Linked DNA regions of Tamandua tetradactyla. The protein of the gene in region 1 interacts with the protein of each later gene in a pairwise test. Links are inferred from orthologs where the notes say so. Each region holds a gene or a part of one and is shown on either strand. Other genes may lie near its edges.

Region 1 (10,006 bases):
ATAGACCATATGTTGGGTCACAAAGCAAGTCTTAACACACTTAAAAAGATTGAAATCATACACAACACTTTCTCGGATCATAAAGGAATGAAGTTGGAAATCAATAATAGGCGGAGTGCGAGAAAATTCACAAATATGTGGCGGCTCAACAACACACTCCTAAACAACGAGTGGGTCAAGGAAGAACTTGCAAGAGAAATTAGTAAATATCTCGAGGTGAATGAAAATGAAAACACAACATATCAAAACCTATGGGATGCAGCAAAGGCAGTGCTAAGAGGGAAATTTATTGCCCTAAATGCCTATATCAGAAAAAAAGAAAAGACAAAAATTCAGGAATTAACTGTCCACTTGGAAGAACTGGAGAAAGAATAGCAAACTAACCCCAAAGCAAGCAAAAAGAAAGAAATAACAAAGATTAGAGCAGAAATAAATGAAATTGAAAACAATAGAGAAAATCAATAAGACCAGAAGTTGGTTCTATGAGAAAATCAATAAGATTGATGGGCCCTTAGCAAGACTGACAAAAAGAAAAAGAGAGAGGATGCAAATAAATAAGATCAGAAATGGAAGAGGAGACATAACCACTGACCTCACAGAAATAAAGGAGGTAATAACAGGATACTATGAACAACTTTATGCTAATAAATACAACAATTTAGATGAAATGGACGGGTTCCTGGAAAGGCATGAACAACCAACTTTGACTCAAGAAGAAATAGATGACCTCAACAAACCAATCACAAGTAAAGAAACTGAATCAGTCATTCAAAAGCTTCCTAACAAGAAAAGTCCAGGACCAGATGGCTTCACATGTGAATTCTACCAAACATTCCAGAAAGAATTAGTACCAACTCTCCTCACCTCTTTAAAAAAATCGAAGTGGAGGGAAAGCTACATAATGCATTCTATGAAGCCAACATCACCCTCATATCAAAACCAGGCAAAGATATTACAAAAAAAGAAAACTACAGATCAATCTCTCTAATGAATATAGATGCAAAAATCCTCAACAAAATTCTAGCAAATCGAATCCAACAACACATTAAAAGAGTTATACATCATGACCAAGTAGAATTCTTCCCAGGTATGCAAGGATGGTTCAACATAAGAAAATCAATTAATGTAATACACCATATCAACAAATCAAAGCAGAAAAATCACATGATCATCTCAATTGATGCAGAGAAGGCATTTGACAAGATTCAACATCCTTTCCTGTTGAAAACACTTCAAAAGATAGGAATACAAGGGAACTTCCTTAAAATGATAGAGGGAATATATGAAAAACCCACAGCTAATATCATCCTCAATGGGGAAAAATTGAAAACTTTCCCCCTAAGATCAGGAACAAGACAAGGATGTCCATTATCACCACTATTATTCAACATCGTGTTGGAGGTTCTAGCCAGAGCAATTAGACAAGAAAAAGAAATACAAGGCATCAAAATTGGAAAGGAAGAAGTAAAACTATCACTGTTTGCAGATGATATGATACTATACGTCGAAAACCCGGAAAAATCCACAACAAAACTACTAGAGCTAATAAATGAGTACAGCAAAGTAGCAGGTTACAAGATCAACATTCAAAAATCTGTAGCATTTCTATACACGAGCAATGAACAAGCTGAGGGGGAAATCAAGAAACAAATTCCATTTACAATTGCAACTAAAAGAATAAAATACCTAGGAACAAATTTAACTAAAGAGACAAAACATCTATACAAAGAAAACTACAAAAAACTGTTAAAAGAAATCACAGAAGACCTAAATAGATGGAAGGGCATACCGTGTTCATGGATTGGAAGACTAAATATAGTTAAGATGTCAATCCTACCTAAATTGATTTACAGATTCAATGCAATACCAATCAAAATCCCAACAACTTATTTTTCAGAAACAGAAACACCAATAAGCAAATTTATCTGGAAGGGCAGGGTGCCCCGAATTGTTAAAAGTATCTTGAGGAAAAAAAACGAAGCTGGAGGTCTCACGCAGCAGGACTTTAAGGCATATTATGAAGCCACAGTGGTCAAAACAGCATGGTATTGGCATAAAGATAGATATATCGACCAATGGAATCGAATAGAGTGCTCAGAAATAGACCCTCTCATCTACGGACATTTGATCTTTGATAAGGCAGTCAAGCCAATTCACCTGGGACAGAACAGTCTCTTCAATAAATGGTGCCTAGAGAACTGGATATCCATATGCAAAAGAATGAAAGAGGACCCGTATCTCACACCCTATACAAAAGTTAACTCAAAATGGATCGAAGATCTAAACATTAGATCTAAGACCATAAAACAGAGGAAAATGTAGGGAGATATCTTATGAAACTTACAATTGGAGGCGGTTTTATGGACCTTAAACCTAAAGCAAGAGCACTGAAGAAGGAAATAAATAAATGGGAGCTCCTCAAAATTAAACACTTTTGTGCATCAAAGAACTTCATCAAGAAAGTAGAAAGACAGCCTATACAATGGGAGACAATATTTGGAAATGACATATCAGATAAAGGTCTAGTATCCAGAATTTATAAAGAGATTGTTCAACTCAACAACAAAAAGACAGCCAACCCAATTACAAAATGGGAAAAAGACTTGAACAGACACTTACCAGAAGAGGAAATACAAAGGGCCAAAAGGCACATGAAGAGATGCTCAATGTCCCTGGCCATTAGAGAAATGCAAATCAAAACCACAATGAGATATCATCTCACACCCACCAGAATGGCCATTATCAACAAAACAGAAAATGACAAGTGCTGGAGAGGATGCGGAGAAAGAGGCACACTTATCCACTGTTGGTGGGAATGTCAAATGGTGCAACCACTGTGGAAGGCAGTTTGGCGGTTCTTCAAAAAACTGAATATAGAATTGCCATACGACCCAGCAATACCATTGCTAGGTATCTACTCAAAGGACTTAAGGGCAAAGACACAAACGGACATTTGCACACCAATGTTTATAGCAGCATTATTTACAATTGCAAAGAGATGGAAACAGCCGAAATCTCCATCAACAGACGAGTGGCTAAACAAACTGTGGTATATACATACGATGGAATATTATGCAGCTTTAAGACAGAATAAACCTATGAAGCATGTAATAACATGGATGAACCTAGAAAACATTATGTTGAGTGAGTCTAGCCAAAACTAAAGGACAAATACTGTATGGTCCCACTGATGTGAACCGACATTAGAGAATAAACTTGGAATATGTCATTGGTAACAGAGACCAGCAGGAGTTAGAAACAGGGTAGGATAATGGGTAATTGGAGCTGAAGGGATACAGACTGTGCAACAGGACTAGATACAAAAACTCAAAAATGGACCGCACAATAATACTTAATTGTAATGTAATTATGTTAAAACACTGAATGAAGCTGCATCTGAGCTATAGTTTTTTTGTTTGTTTGTTTGTGTCTTTTGTTTTTTCTTTTTCCTTTTTTATATAAATTTTTTTATTTTTTATTATTATTATTATTATTTTATTTTTTCTCTATATTAACATTCTGTATCTTTTTCTGTTGTTTTGCTAGTTCTTTTCCTAAATCGATGCAAATGTACTAAGGAATGATGATCATACATCTATATGATGATATTAAGAATTACTGATTGCATATGTAGAATGGAATGATTTCTAAATGTTGTGTTAATTTTTTTTTCTTTCCGTTAATTAAAAAAAAAAAAAAAACTTATGTCTCTCCATTCTGAAGGAACTTTGGAAGTTCAGAGACTGTTTGGGTTTTCAGTGGTTTATGCAATACTAGGTATCCAGGTTAGTCTATCCTAGAATAGACTATTTCTGCTTTGCTGAAACCAAATTCCATCATTCCCAGTTCATCCCTATACTTACTACCCTGATCTAGAAACACATCAACAATATACATAGGAAAACAAATTTCATTTACTACTTGTCTCCGAACATTTTATAGGACATCATCAACTTTATTAATACAACATGAAATAAAAATTGTCAGGCTATCGTCTTGATGACACTTGTCACAACACTGAAGATATGATTAGGATACTCTAGATGGGATGCACAAGCCGTCCATTACCCAGGGACTCTGAGACTTCTTAACCTGAGCAGTTGGAAATGAGGTTAAAAGTCTTATCTTGCTAACTTTCACATCATCTACTATCTAGCACTGTGCCTGATACAATGCAGGCTTTCAGTAGGTGTTAGTACAATAAATACAGGAATGAATTTTGAAAACTAAAACAAACAAACAATACTAATTAAATGAAAAGAACCAATTTGCAAATAAAGGCTCATTTCAGCTGAAAGTTCTCAAGTCCTTGGTAAATGCAACCACTTCAGTGATTTAAACTCTTTGTCAATCTAGCACAGTACCACGAAATATGTAAAAGTTTAATGAGAGGAATCAACTACAATAGGCATTCTTTGTTATTAAATATTCTTTTACTAGGCTCAATTTCAAAAGTACATGTTTAATTAATAATTGTATTCAAATACACACAAAAAATTAGGTACTGGTATTACTAGTGGTTTGGAATATCATAGAATCTTAGAGTTGGAATGGAAGAGACTTTTACAAGTCATCTTGTCCAATTCAATACAGGAGTCTGTTCTATAATGCTAATTTAGTCTACAATCATGTCTTGGACGCACTCACTCCAAAAAACCTCCAAACATATCTGCTTCTACACTTCCAGCAGCTAGCAGAAACTTTTCAGCAGGTAAATTAGATCATGCTGCTCCCTGCTTAAAACTCTTTGAAGGCTTCCCCTTACATACTCCTCTCCTCCCTCCCATTAGTCCCCATACTATGGCATGACATGGTTCCTGCCAGCTTCTAAGACCTGCCCTCACCTCACCATTCATTTCCCTCCAGTCACACAGGAACTTCCCTCTTTCCTAATCTGATATTTCCATGTTTGCTACTGCTGTCAAAAGTGCTCTTTCATAATGATTCTCCCCATTCTCACTTCCATGATCAGCTCCACCTCATCCTTCAGGTGCTAGCTTAAAGAGACTTGCATCCTTAATTATAGATATATTTGTTTTCTACAAAGTATATATGTCAACCTATAACTATTATTTGCTTGTTTTTTGATCCTTTTCCCCTACCAAACCATACGCTAGCCCCATAAACACAGGGACCTTATGTATCTTATTATTTCTTGTCGCCATCTCAAAACGAGGAAATAAGAGACATTCAATGAAGACGTTTTCAGCTGAACTCATTAAAGGTCTCACAAACGCTGAGTGACCTTTAATGAAACCTCTATAGTGACGGGAGATTTGCTACATGACAAAGTAACTCATGCCAATTTTAGTTGTTCACCTCTTTTTTTTTCCCCTGAACTAAAATCTGCCTTCTATATCTTAAATTTCCAACAACCGTCAGCCAAATAAGGGCTGAACCTCTTAACCTGACCTGGACTAGAGCAGTTAAGCTTTTTTGATTCACCGAAGTCTTCAACAATCTTTTAATAGCAAGGGACACTCTCAAGCAAACAGCACATCCCCACATATTCATAATATTTCAAGGGTTTCATCTACTCCCAAGCCCATCACAAAATCCAGATTAAGATACTCTCACCTGCACACCTAGAAGCGACAATGCAACTTTTTGCAATGCAGTTTTTGACAACTAAGGTTTTCAAAAATTAAATGTGAGAGGAAACTGCAGAAAAAATTCTAGAGGCAATTATATGCCGGGGGTTTTCACAAAGTTTCATTTTGGAAGGATCACCTGGCATCAATAAATCTTCGACTCTAAAAGAAATTTGGGAGCTCACAACCCAGAAGTCCCTCACTTTCAAATAAGGCCCCCCAAAATAAAAGGCTCGTCCAAGAACACCCACTCGTTAGTAGCAAAGTTAGGAAAAGAAGGCAGGTCTCTGGTACCCCCATCTAATGTGATCTATCCACTTAAATTTCGCTGGTTTCTTACACTGCATGCTCAGCCAGCCAGTGCTCTCAAACCTGGGAGGGAGCAAGTTGCAGGCAAAGGAAACTTTACTGGTTTAGGAGAGAGGGAGAGGACAGGAGAGAGGAGGGCAGGGTTTGGGGCAGCTCGACACGCAGCGCTCACCTGTCTGGGGTCCAGAGGCGGGTGGTGCGGTCTCGGGACACGGACACAAAGGCCCCCGGCGGATAGAGGCAGCACACCAGGCCCCGCACGTCCAGCTCGTGGCCCCGGAGCGAGCAGCTCAGCCGGTACCTGGCGGCCCCGCTCGCCATGGCCTGCTTCGGTCCCGCACCGCGAGGTCCGGATAACGCGCGAGATCAGTCCGCAGGGGATGCCGGGCCTGCGCCGAGCAGCAGTGGGAGAGGGAGCTGCAGGTGAGGGCGGTGGAGACCGGAAGAGACCGAAAGCCGGTGCGGAAGGGCAGCGGGAAGGGGGCGCCTCGAATAGGCCCAGTGACACAGCAACCCTGACATGCACACCGGAATTTATCGTCGGCCTCAGTCCTCCGTGACGCAAAGCGTGTGCGCCCCCGTCTGAGGCTCGGTTCTCTCCAGAGCTTGGGACCGTCAGCGGAGGAAGAGATGAGGTCACTGTTTGTCCAGCCTAGACGCCCAAGCCCGGGGTCCTTCCCGACCCGGAGCAGCGCTGTTTGTTGTAAATCGCGAGCCAGGACTACAGATCCCACAATGCCACGCGCTGGTAGGGCATACGCATCCGGAGCTACGAGTTCCGCTCTTTTAAATCTTGGGGTCCTGCGCTGCGTACCGCGGAGTGGCGGAGTGAGATTATTTGGTTAGTTCGGTTTCCCCAATGCTTCTCTCCCTGTCTTACAGAAATTGTCACTAATTAAACGTTGCTTTTCGGTTACAACGAGAAATCTTGAGAACCATTAATCGCTTGCCTTCTGTTAGTTGTATGCTTCCCGAACTCATAAATCGGAAACAGAATGACCTTTAAAGAGGGAATGTAATAAATTACAAATTTACAGTTCTAAGGAAGTCTTAAGTGTCCAAATTAAGGCACCAATAAGAGGTGATGTGTCTGGACACCTAAGTCAGCTGGTAGTCAGGAGGCTGGCATCTGCTGGTCCCTTGCTCCTGGGCTCTGTTGCTTTCAGCTTCTGTTCCTCTGAGGGTTCCTCACTTTGCTTCTCTGGGGCTGGCTTTCATCTCTTGGGTTCCCTTGGCTCTTTCTAGGTTCTGACTTGCTTAATATTGCATGATGATGTCTGCTGGACTTCAGACATCTTCAAACATCTGTATCTCTGTTCTCTGAAGCAACTTTTGTCCAAGCATCTACATCTGCTTTCTCTGTCAGTTCTGAGGCTTCTGTCATTTCTGAATTGCTCCAAAATATTTCCTCTTTTAAAGAGTTCTAGGAAACTAATCAAACCCACCTTGAATGGGTGGAGTCACATCTCCACAATTAGACATGTAACATCTCTATGGAGATAATCAAATCAGAAGTAGAGAATTTTGTACAATAGAGAATTAGTATTATAAGAAATGACTGCCCCCTCCTCCTCCAAGATTGAATCAATATTAAGACATGGCTTTTCTGGAGTACATGATACTTTCAAACCGGTACAGCTTTGTTATCCCATTTTCTGCCCTCCATCAAGTTTAGAGAATAATTCAGCAGTAGACACCAGTTCTTTTCAAATGTGCAGGCTTAAATCCTCTAGAGGCTTATTAAAATACAGACACTGATTTTGTAAACCTGCACCGGGCTGTGAATATATATTTTTAACCAGCCTCAGTAAATGTTGCTGCTTAATGGACCGTGCTAAATAGGGAAAATATACATCACCTGTCTCCATATTTCCAATTTCCACTTACCATTCTGTCCACTGTTCTCTTGCATTCAAGTACACTTCTCCACAAACCCCTCTTAATCACTAAATCCAACGCACTTTTCTGACCTTTCCCTTCTTGAAACTTCTTTAGATTGCAGCCCACTGCTACTTTGGTTTCTGTTCCTCTGACGTGAACTCTGAAATGTTGACCTTTTACTACCTAACTTCTGTCATTTTACTCTCCCTGGGTAGACCATTTACTACTTTGCATATTCTAAAGCTATACCTCCAGACCTGTATTTCCAGCTATCAAAAATCTTCCTTGGTTATCTCTTGCGTCAATTATTTTACTACTCTCTAGCTCTTGAATTATTTCAACATTCTCTAGCCTTTCTGCCCCTTCTCTCCAACCAATCCTGCACATTAAAATAAGATTATCTTTCTAGAAACTAAATTTAATTTTTCTCTTCTCAATAACTTCTCATGTCTGCCCATTCTTATGTTAAACAGTATACAAGACCTTTAACACTATCTCCCCAAATATTTTACTAGATTCATCTCCCTCCATTTTCTCTACTGAACCCCTTATCCCAGCCACATTAAATTTCTCCCATTCTCTAAGCATATTATGCTCTTTCATGTCTCCAGGCTCTTTGTACATCCTCTTTTTCTCTTTTTTAAACTGGAATGCCACTCTTTCTCTACCTGGCTTATTTCAACACCAGTTTAATTATCATATGGTTCCTTCTGGTTTCTCTGTGGAACCCAATCTAATTTCCTGTATCTTTGTTATAGCATTTACTGTATTCTAATACATTCATTTCTGTCTTTGTCTTTCCTATCAGACTAAATTTTTCTGAGGATCAGTAATGGCTTTCTTTCCTTTGAATTCGCAGCATCCAGTTTAGTGACTCACACATAACAAGTCCTCAGCAAATGTTTTCCACTTTGTACAGTATTTAGTGTAAAGGCAATTTTCACAGTCTCTCATTTAATCCTTAGAATTGTTACCATCAGAAAATGAGGTTTTCAATAGTTAGGCCCACCTGATCCTGCATCAAACAGAGAAACAAGTTTCTTTGTTTTGGTGAGAAGGTGTGTTTTATTACAGGAGGAACTGGAGGAGATATTTTTTTCCAAGACCAGTTTTGGCTTTTATAACCCTATACAGACAAAGAAATACCCAGGATCAAGAAGAAAGCAGGGAAAAGAAAAAAAAAAGAAGGGAGGAAGGGTGGGAGTGAGGCAGGTAGGAAGGAAGGAAGGGAGGGAGGAAAAGGAAAGAAAGCAAATGTACCAGTTTAAAAGGATTTATGTACCCTAGAAAAGCCATGTTTTAATCTAATCAATCTTGTGGGAGTAAGAGTTTCTTCTAATCCCTATTCAGTACTGTACGTTGGAAACTTGTTTAAGTTATCTCCACAGAGATGTGACTCACCCAATTGTGAGTATTAACTTTTAAATAGAGAGGTGACTCCACCCATTACAGGTGGGGCTTGATTACCTTACTGGAATCCTTTAAAAGAGGAAGCATTTTGGAGAAAGCTTGAGAATGATGAGAGCAGCAGAGACACTAGAACTACAGAGGCCACCAACCAGCGACCTTTTGAAGTGAAGGAAAATGCTCCTAGGGGAGCTTCATGAAGCAAGAGGCCTGGAGGGGAAGCTAGAAGATGTAGCCATGTTCACCATGTGCCTTTACAGTTGCGAAAGAAACTCTGAACTTCGACAGCCTTCCTTGAGTGAAAGTGGCCTCTTCTTAGTGCCTTAATTTGGACATTTTTATAGACTTGCTTGAATTGGGACATTTTCTCAACCTTGGAACTGTAAACTAGCAACTCATTAAATTTCCCTTTTTAAAAGCCATTCCTGTCCCGGTATATTGCATTCTGATGGCTAGCAAACTAGAACAACAAGAAAATAGGAGTTAGGCCCAAGATGGTGGCTTAGTGAGGTGTGGAATTTAGTTCGTCCTCCAGAGCAGTTAGTAAACAGCCAGGGACAGTACAGAACAAGAGCTGGGGCCACATCAGTGACCAGCCTGGACAAGCTGGACCAGCTGCAATCCCACCCAGAATCATGAGACCCCCAAGCTGCGGCAGCCGGTGACCCTCCCCCACAGGCTGGCTTCTAGAGGGGAAAAAGACTTTACTAACAGCAAAGGGCTGAGCTCAACTTATCTCCAGTTGTGGAATTAATTAACAAATTCTGACTACTAAATAGAACCTCAGCTTAGCTGAACCTCCAGTAAAAGCTGAGGCT
Region 2 (10,006 bases), on another chromosome or scaffold:
CTGTTCTGACATTTTCATGTTCATTATCAATATTATTAATTGATCCTCAAAAAGCTGAATATAGAATTGCCATACGACCCAGCAATACCATTGCTAGGCAATCTACTCAGAGGACTTAAGGGCAAAGACACAAACGGACATTTGCACACCAAGGTTTATAGCAGCATTATTTACAATTGCAAAGAGATGGAAACAGCCAAAATGTCCATCAACAGACGAGTGGCTAAACAAACTGTGGTATATACATACGATGGAATATTATGCAGCTTTAAGACAGAATAAACTTATGAAGCATGTAATAACATGGACGGACCTAGAGAACATTATGCTGAGTGAGATTAGCCAAAACCTAAAGGACAAAAACTGTATGGTCCCACTGATGTGAACCGACATTAGAGAATAAACTTGGAATATGTCATTGGTAACAGAGACCATCAGGAGGCAGAAATAGGGTAAGATAATGGGTAATTGGAGCTGAAGGGATACAGACTGTGCAACAAGATTGGATACAAAAACTCAGAAATGGACAGCACAATACTACCTAATTGTAATGTAATTATGTTAAAACACTGAATGAAGCTGCATCTGACGTATAGTTTTTTATTATTATTTTTTAATTTTTTAAATAATTTTTTTCTCTTATCGTTTTATTTCTTTTCTGTTGTCTTTCTATTTCTTGTGATATTAAGAATTACTTAATATCACAAGATATGTGATATTAAGAATTACTGATTGTATACGTAGAATGGAAAGATTTCTAAATGTTGTGTTAATTTTTTTAATTAATAAAAAAAGATTATTAATTGATCATCTTGGAGAGGCTGGTCCTCTGAGTTCCAGGATTTATCTGTCCTAAGAACCCTCCTATTTTTAAGACACAAGCCCTCTAGACCCCAAGCTTCTGGACACCCAAGTCCTCTCTAGCCTGGCCCCTTCTCTATGGTTTCCGACATAGGGCGCTCTAGCCCGCGCAAGGAATGACGGTCGGCGGCTACTCTCTAGGCTGCGGGAGGCTTCCCAAGACGCCTCTCTGGTTGCGCGGTCGGCCATGGGGGTCCTGCAGAAGGCTCTGGTCGTTGGCGCGTTGCTGGGCGTGGGAGCCGGCGTGGGCTCTGCGCTCTTTGTCCTCGTGACCCCGGGGGAGCAGCGGAAGCAGACGATGCTGAAGGTGGGATTAACTGGGGTCCCTTAGTGGGATGGGCGGGCGGAGAGCGCCGGGCTCTGCGAACCTTGCTCCTTGCCCGCAGGAGATACCGGAGAAGTATCCGCAGCGCCGGGACGAGGCGGCCAGGACCCAGGAGCTGCTGCTGTCCACGCTGCAGGAGGCAGCCGCCACGCAGGAGAACGTGGCCTGGAGGAAGAACTGGATGGAGGGCGGCGGCAGTGGGAGGTCGGCATGAGCCAGGACCTGCCCGGGTGGGCTCAGGAGGCTGAAGCGGCCTTTCTGCTCCGCGGACCGGCGGGGCGTCGCAACTCTGTGTTTGGTGCCCCGGGAGCAGCCACCGACAGGGTGAGCACATTACCCCTCCCACACCCACCTCCCGCCTCGCTGGGACCGCAGAGCCAGGAATCGGGTGTGGAGAACTGAGAGCACCAATAAATCACTTTCCCCCATCCAGAGAGTGAGCCTTGCGGTATGCGGATGACGTCTAGATTCCTTGAGCTGTGGGTTCGTTGGTCCGACGCCGGTGACTGCGGATCCCACCAGCCCCGCCCCGCATGTGTGAGGCTGAAGTCCAATGGGAGTAGCGACCACGTTTTCAAAACACTGTCAAGTCGTATGGCACAAACTTAAGTGTACTTCCCGGAGTAACCAAGCAGCGCTTTGAGATCAGAACTATCCTGGAACATCCTGTCCGGTGGACTCCATGTAGAGGACAGGCTGGGCTCCTGTCCTATGAGCCAGATAGGGCTGGAGGGCATCTAGAACTTGAATGTCATGATGCCCTCTGTGGCCGTTACATGCCCCATTTCACCTCTGGCTAATAAGGCACTCTTTAGAGAGGCTGACTTGCTAGGAGTGAAAGAAACATGCTTTGCTCTTAGGTCAGATCTTTGTTCAACTCCAGCATATCACAAAACCTCTGCACCTCAATCCTGCTGGATGAACCATGGTAACTCTAGATTAAGTTTTGTTGTTAAAAGAATTTAGAAACGTGAAGTGCAGCGACTGGCACAGAGTGAGCTGTCAGTGAAGGTAATGGTTGGTTTTGTGTTGTTTTTTTTCCTTCAAACATTTTCACCACAGTAGTTTCCAGTCTGTGAATCCAGCCATAGGATCTGTTGGATGCCACTGAGGATGTGAGATAATCTCTGGCCCTATACCAAGTCAAGTCTCTCCTCCTTTTGTCCATTTTATCTACTGTAGTTCTAAACAAGATTTTCATTAAAAAGTCTGCTTTTCCCAAATAAAGCATGGTGAGGTATAACCCATCTGTGACCACTGATGTATTCAGCTGCTTGATGGTTGAGTTTTAAGCCAAACATACTTTTATGTGCAATCTTTACAGTATAACTGCCTGCCCCTGCCCAGGAATTAGAGGATCAGCAGGTGTTTGTGGGAACACTACGGTGCATTATGAGCAGCACTGAGAAGGGTCACCATGGGAGTACCTGGCAGTTCAAAGCCTAAGCCCTGGGGTCAGGGGCTCCCTAGGTGTGTGTCCAGGTTCTACTTGCTAGCTCTGTCAGTTTGGGCAAATTATATGCTTTGCTGTCCTAAGCTCTAGAATATTGTACCTTTACCTAGATAACAGTGCTTTCCTATCCCTGTTAATACACACAAAGCACTTAAAACTGTATGTGGTACATATTAAGTAATCAACACTTTTAAGTGTTATTAGGAAAAGCACCTGGCTTGGTTGCGATGTACTCTTACAGCAGAAAAGATGCAGCTGCAAAGGTCACCCTTATGTTTCTCTCTCTCAACGTTCTTGAGTATGTCCATACTTAAATTTCTCTGTTAGAAATTATACTAATTGAGGACTTATTTGGTGCAGATGCTGTACAAAAAGTACCTTATACCAGCATTACGTATCCCTCAAAACAACCCTAAGAATCAGGTACTTTTTAAATATCTTAGTAAAGAAAAACCGATGCTTAAAAAAATCAAAGCACATAGCTAGTGGCAGAATCAATATTTCAAGCTTATGCACTGCCTCTTACCCACAGGAGCAAAAAGCACTATCCAGTCTACTTCCCACCCTCCAGCACCTCTCCTTCTCAGTCTCCCCAGCAGCTAATCAGACCCAGAGGTTAGAAACAAGTGTCTTTTGTTAGAGACTAAAGAGGAAGAGGATCTACTCCAAATGCCTTCATTTTAACTTCTACCTCTGCCTCAGTTTTGTCCCCTCATCCATTCAGGAAGGAGTCGGGCACATATAGAATTCAGAGGGTCTATTTATTAGGAAGGGGATGTCAGTGCTTTATCAAAGATGAAGAGGTCAGAGAGGGATGGTGGAATAAAGGCCCCTCAGCTGGGACATTTTTTGGCCACGATGAGGACAGCAGAAGGCACAAGTCCTGAAGATGGAAGAAAACAAGTTTGAGCCACAAAGATATCTTCTCTTTGTGCTAAAATTTCCTGGCCTTGTACCATCTCCAAAATCCCTTCTCACTACATCTCTTAACTTTCTCAGTCATACGCCCCATCCTTCAAGCCCTAGTTTCTGGTCCCATGTTCCATACCCAGCTCCTGCAGAGGCCGTTCCATGTCAGCCTCTGAGAAGGCTCGCCGAGGGAAGCCACTGAGCAACTGCACAGGGTCCTGGCCCCCTCCAGGTTCCTCTCCACGGTGAAGCTCCACATACAGCCTCACGGCTGCCAGCTGTTCCCGGGCCCGGAATGTCTGGGTCAGTGAAGTACCATCTGGCAGCCTGACCTAGAAGGTAAGGGAGACGTATGGTATCAGGGTCAAAACTAAGTGAGGTGCCCAAGGAAAAGAACAGAACAACTAAAGCTGGCTCTTGCATCCTAGAGCAACTGAACCAGCAAAATTACTATTTAAAGCACCTAATGAACAACCACTTACACTGTGCTTTACCAAGCAATGAAAATAAAGACACTCCCACCTACCACACATGATTATACAAAAATATGTAGGTAAATCACCACATTACTCACATAAGCTGTGTAATAAGCCAAACGGAAATGTAAACAAGTTAACCGGTAATTGCTGAGCAAGAGGGAAGTATGCATTTAAATAACATCAGGACAAGTGAAATTTGATCTCCTTCCTAAGAGTGGAGGAGATTGGATTTCAAAGTCATTTACAAAGAAGGGAAAGGTTTGGCAAAGGGAACATAACTGAAAAAAGCTCTGAACTGGGCACCTTACAGATCAAGGAAAGGGTCCCAAGAGTAAGACAAGAATCAGAATCAGTACCTGTATACGACACTGGTCATACTCCCGCTTGGTGGGAGGCTCCTGGCTGGGAGAGGAGGGAACAGGACCTGGCTCTGCTGCTGGTGGGGATGGCCGAGTACCCATGCTACCATACTAAAGGATAAAGTAAAATATTCCATTAGACACTCATCCACCCTAAGGAGAAACATCATACAAGTCCACCTTTTTCCTCTGAAGCTCGAAAGGGGATTTCCTAGCCCACCTACTCCAATACCATCCCCCACCCCACCCCTGTGTCTTTCTAAACACCCACCTTCTTGGCTCTCTCTGCTTTGTCCCTTTCAATCTTTTCTCGAACTCTTTGTCTGGAATATAGAAAAGAAAAAAGTAGGTCAGACAGGGATAAAGCAAATCCTGATTCCCTTCTCATCTCTTATCCAACATCCCCATCACGCAGACCTGGCTGCTAACTCTTCAGCCTTTTCCCTCCTCCTTTCCTCAGCAGCACGGCGCATCTCATCTTCCTGTAGCCGCTGTCGGGCAGCTGACAACTCCTGCCCTTGTCTCCTGCGCTGCCGTTCCCGTTCCAATGCCTCCCGCTCCTCTCTCTCTTCACGTTCCCGCTGCTTCTGGGCCACCAGCTCCAACATCCTGGGGCAGAAAGTTAAGTGCTCAAGAGAAATGGATAGTAGTGTGGGAAGGTGAGTTTATGACAAGGAAAACAAAATCAGGGAACATGTGTCCCAGGATAGATGAAAGAAACCAAAGGAAAATGCCAAGAAAGGACAGAAGGAATGTGAAGGGAAAGTCCAAGGTTCTATGACCAGACTGTGTATTGGGGAGAGGTTGAAGACAACCCTTAAAAATGGGAAGCTGTCCCTTACTGTACCTTTTAGTCTGTTCCTGTCTTTCTTCTTCACTCAAAGCAGGTTTGCCTTCTCCTGCAGCAGACCCAGGCACTACAAACAAGCAAGCAGTATTATTACCACTTCAGATCGTCCCCAGACCCTCCTGAATAACCACACTATACCCCCAGTCAGGACCTTCAGGGCCACCTTCCTCCGAGGAGGTGGCTTCCCGGCCCAGAATATGTCCAAGGGGGGTCTCTAGAGGCTCGTCCACATCGGGGTCATCTTCGTGTTCCATCAGCCTAACAGGAAGAGTCGGGAGGGAGGTTAACGGTGAGGCGGCCGCCCCTTCCCCCCTTCGCCCCTTCCCCCTAACTCCCTGCCACCCGGTCTGGGTACTCACCAGTCCATTGCAGCCTCGATGCCCTGGTTCCCTGTGAGGGCTAGAGCCTTCTCCCTGAGGGCAGAAACACCGGGAATAGCGCCCATGAGCCATGGTGACGGGCAGGCAGGGGCGCAGGCCTGAGACCGGACGGGGGTAAAGACCGGGACACGTCCACGTTCCCCGCAGCCTGGGGTTAGGGGGACTCCCTTACGCGCGTCCCCTGGGGAAGCCCATCTCGATGAGACTCTCCAGAGCCGTCAACTCCGCCATGGCGCCGCCGCCGCCGCCGCCTCCGCGGGGACCTAAGGGAACGAGTAGCGCAGGGGTAGGTGGGATCTGCACGGGACACCCCCGGCCCGCGCCCAATTCCGTTCCCCTTGTCCCCGACCAAGAATCTCCCTTACTTACCCGGCTCTGGACCCACCGCGGATACCGACGAGAAGAAAGCCGAGGGGAAACGGAAGTGCCCGGATCTGTTTGGGTCACGTGGAGGGCGGGCGTGGACGGGTGCCGAGAAGAGGCAGAAAACACGTGTCTGGCCCACCAGACCCGCAGCGCGTGGGAGTTGCTAGCGGGAGGCGGTGGTGGGGGCGCTGCGGTTTTGAAACGCTCGGACGTTAGGACGTGCGATCCCGCGGCGTAACGCTCCCTTACCCTCCTTTTTAGAAATTAGAAAGCATATGGCCCCTGAGCGCAATCAATTGGTGTATTACTTGGCAGGGTTAGCCATAGAAATGTGCACACACTTTGACCCACTGATCCTCTCCTGGGAGTTGAGCTCTTCTCCGCCCAGCTGCCAGAGGGATTTTTGCAAAACACAATATCTGATCCTGTCATCACCTCCCTGCTTATAACTTCCCCGTGACACCCCACATACCTAGGACAAAACAAATGCTTGTGCTCTTGCTTTCTCCTGCCCCACTTTTTTTTTTTTTTGATTGGAGCAGTTACAGGTTTACAGAAAAGTCATGCAGAAAGTAGAGTTTCTACAGAACCCCCCTTCTCACACACAGTTTTCTCTATTGACATTTTGTATTAATGTGGCACTTCTTTTACAATTGATGAAACAATATAGTTATGCTATTAACTTTAGCCCACTGTTTATGTTATGATTTACTCTTGTGTTGCACACTTCTATGGGTGTATGTGTGTGTGTTATATGCAACCTAAAATTTCCCGTTTTTATCCCATTTTCAAATATATAATTCAGGGGTGTCAATTACCTTCACGAAGGTGTGCCTCCGTCACCATGCCCCCCTTTTTTTTTAGGGTCCCATCTGTAAAGTGGGGTTAACAATAGGTGCCATCAAGAGAGTACAGTGTAAATGTTGGTGTAAATTATTACACAGTTTCATCTCCCACCACTTGAGGGTAACGTTCATATTGCAAAACAGAATCTCTTCCTCCTGACCTTTACACACTCTAGCCTCTTCATCTGGGATGCCTTACCTCTTCTCTAGACTAGGTTAATTCCCTGTCCTCGTTTGTCCTGACTTAACTCAAGGTTTGCTTTCTAAGGGAAGGCTGGTTTGAAACAGCTTCCCAGGCGTCCCAGCTCCACTCTTTACACCTCATTAAACTTTTATCCTCTTGTTACTAGTCATTGTTGATTAATTAGCCCTCCACCATTACTTAACCTGTTGGATCCTTGAAGGTGGAGCTGCCTTTATTGCACACAACACCTGCTACAAAGGAAGCAGACTTTAAATGTTTGTCAGGAGGCACAGCAATAACAGTTACCGATATTGATAATATATTATGACCTAGGGACTGAATAGAATCATCATAAACTCACTATGATGTAGGTACTAGTATTAGTCACTGGAAACTGAGACAAAGAACAATAAGATAATTTGCCTAAGTTCTCAAAGCAAATAAGTAGCAGAACTAGGACTCAAGCCCAAGCAGCCTGCCTTCACTAGGCCACCACTGTATGGTGGAGTGATAAGCATCAGCTTTGAAAGTATGGACCGGAATTCTAGCTGACCTCCTTAGTTGTGACTTCAAACCATTTAGAAACCCCGGGTTTCTCATCTGTGAAAAGGTGAGACCATTTCCTGGGATGATTATGGTGAAAATTAAATGAGAATGCTCGTAAAGTATGTCTTGCATAATAATGAGATAGCAGACCCTCTAGTGATTCATCAATCAGTGCTGAGGAAATACAGGAATTTTATTTAAAGGCACAAAGTATTCACTGCAGTGTGATGAGTGTATTCTAGATAAGAAATGTATTCTAAATTTATTCTAAAGGTCCAATAATAAGTTAAATTTTATCGTCCTGCTTCTTTGACCTACTTCCAGGCAAGTCTATACAGAAATACTCACACAAACATGCAAGGGTACAGAGACAAGCATGTCCATGACAAACACTGGAGGCGTCAAATGTTTTAATAAAGAGCGATGCCTAAAGTCACTTAGGGAGCATTCTCTTATGGAAAGCTGGGCAGCTTTTGACATAACTAGGGAAGCTCTGATTTACCAAGATGGAATGGACAACATAATTTAATATTTCCAATTGGTAATATTTAATATTTAATATTACCAATAAAAGGTAATACTCTCATTGAAGAGAGAAAAGTCTACTCTGAGAACTTTCACTTTATACTCTTTGATTTTACTTGAAATTTCTATAAGTATCACTTATAATTAAATATGCATACACATATGTATACACGCAATGAGTAAAAGTGAGGCTTATACCACGTAGCAGCATAAAACAGATTTTTCTACATCCAATTAATTTAAAAATAAAATCAAAAGTATGTCTACTTACTCTGAAAAGAAACAGTTATATGAATAGGGAATTGAAAAGATCATCCAAAAAATGAAAATGTCTTCTAGTTTCCTTTAATGTTGTTATAAGGGGCATACAGTGGGTGTACAGTAGTGTGGGGATTTTACCAGTTGAGATGCAGGCTGGTCACAAATAGCAGCTGGGCCATCCTTTATTCTCCACTCCATGTCAGTCATTTATTTCCACCATCAGCAGACACGGGTGGACTCTGATACAGGTATGTTCATCCTCAATAATTAAACAAAAGGCCGAAGGAGAAGAGGGTGGCCCCAAACTCCCAACCTCCTGAAGCTTATTCTCAATATGCCATGGACGCCACGTAAAGTGGCAGACCCCAGACCCCATCTGAAGGCCTATGATGGGGGTGGACTAACTACAGCCGGATCCCAGGTCTGATTTGTAAGGCCCACCCGCTAAGAATGTTTTTTTTCTTTTGACATTTTCAATGGCTACATGTTACATGCTTATACGAGTATGAGCATAATATCTGGGATTTTTGTCCTCCTGGACCACCGCAAAGCCGGAATTAGTTATTATCTGGCCCTTTATGAGAAAAGCACTGACCCTCTATGGTCCCTCCTAAACTTGAATCAGAATTCAAGCGAAGTCTGGAATCTAAGCAAGCTTTCAGAGTAGAGATCTGAGAGTCCGCTCTAGGGCTCCCAGCTCAGTGGGTGGCTTTCTGCCCCGCCGTCCAGCCTGAGCAGGGCAGCAGCCGGGCCCTCACCAGCTCCTGCCCTGGATCTGGGGCCAAGCTCTCCAGGTAGAAGCTTGGCTTTGCAGGATATGCTCCCCAGGTCCCTTTCAGAGCCTCTGCTGGGCTTGTATGGCCCCTCGCCGGGGGCAGCCGCAGTGCTGGCGCAGGTAGAAGTGCCAGACCAGGGCTGAGCAGCTGAGCAGGGCCAGGGCTGTGCCCACCCCCACGGCCGCATGGATCAGGGTGAGGGGTCTGGGGGGCATGGTGAACCGGCCGCAAGGCCCGAAGGCAGGGTCTCCTGCCACCTCAAGGCCCTCCCTTCCTGCCTTGGGCACTGTGCTTTCTCCGGCGTCGTTGGAAGCCACCACGCAAACGACATAAGCACCCCCGGGGTTCAGTCCGTTCAGTTCTGCTTTTCGGACGGTCGAATTCAGGGGCGCGCCCTGCTGGGGAGCCCTGCTGCCTTCCGAAAGCAGCAGCCAGTATTGGTGGACCGGGGAGAAGGGGGCACACCACCGGATGACGGCGCGGCCCTCCTCGGCCACTGTTTGTACTTCCCCCAGGCGTGGCGGGTCAGGCGGCTGGGCAGGGCTGGAGAGCCCTGGGCACAGGCAAGCGGTGGGTCCAGCCTGCTGCAGCTCGTGGCAGGGCACCTGCAGGTGGCGGCAGCGGTCATAGTCGCAGGGGACAGGTGGCAAAGGTGACCACAGGGTCTCATTTTCCTCCTCTTCCTGGAAATCTCGAGGAGCCAAGGGCTGGGCTCCAGGAACCAAGGAGAGAGTCACAGCCAGGAGCCACAGATACAGATGATGGGGAGAGCCCGACATGGGGTCTGGAAAGGAAGGAGGTGAGTGGGGAAGGGTTCACCCCCATGCTTTCCAGGGCCTCTGGGCCAACCGAACCTCTGCAGATGGGGAAGCGCAAGTAGGGGCCGA

What was found.
Region 2: the proteins of PLAA (region 1) and UBXN1 interact in binary tests that used the Homo sapiens proteins (3 or more experiments, as listed by UniProt). The two-hybrid records come from large-scale screens. The link is inferred for Tamandua tetradactyla from reciprocal best matches to the Homo sapiens genes PLAA and UBXN1.

Annotation. Positions count from the first base shown.
Region 1 is NC_135328.1:69,355,508-69,365,513, reverse strand, and holds the start of PLAA (phospholipase A-2-activating protein), read right to left. Parts: upstream 6,632-10,006; 5' UTR 6,222-6,631; coding exon 6,073-6,221; intron 1-6,072. UniProt on the Homo sapiens protein: Plays a role in protein ubiquitination, sorting and degradation through its association with VCP. Involved in ubiquitin-mediated membrane proteins trafficking to late endosomes in an ESCRT-dependent manner, and hence plays a role in synaptic vesicle recycling.
Region 2 is NC_135335.1:11,896,293-11,906,298, reverse strand, and holds UBXN1 (UBX domain-containing protein 1), read right to left. Parts: upstream 6,114-10,006; 5' UTR 5,986-6,113; intron 5,880-5,985; 5' UTR 5,848-5,879; coding exon 5,789-5,847; intron 5,650-5,788; coding exon 5,596-5,649; intron 5,495-5,595; coding exon 5,388-5,494; intron 5,304-5,387; coding exon 5,234-5,303; intron 4,996-5,233; coding exon 4,804-4,995; intron 4,710-4,803; coding exon 4,658-4,709; intron 4,498-4,657; coding exon 4,384-4,497; intron 3,881-4,383; coding exon 3,688-3,880; intron 3,523-3,687; coding exon 3,473-3,522; 3' UTR 3,382-3,472; downstream 1-3,381. Other genes in the region: UQCC3 (ubiquinol-cytochrome-c reductase complex assembly factor 3), read left to right, coding at 1,049-1,168, 1,248-1,400; LRRN4CL (LRRN4 C-terminal-like protein), read right to left, coding at 9,179-9,898.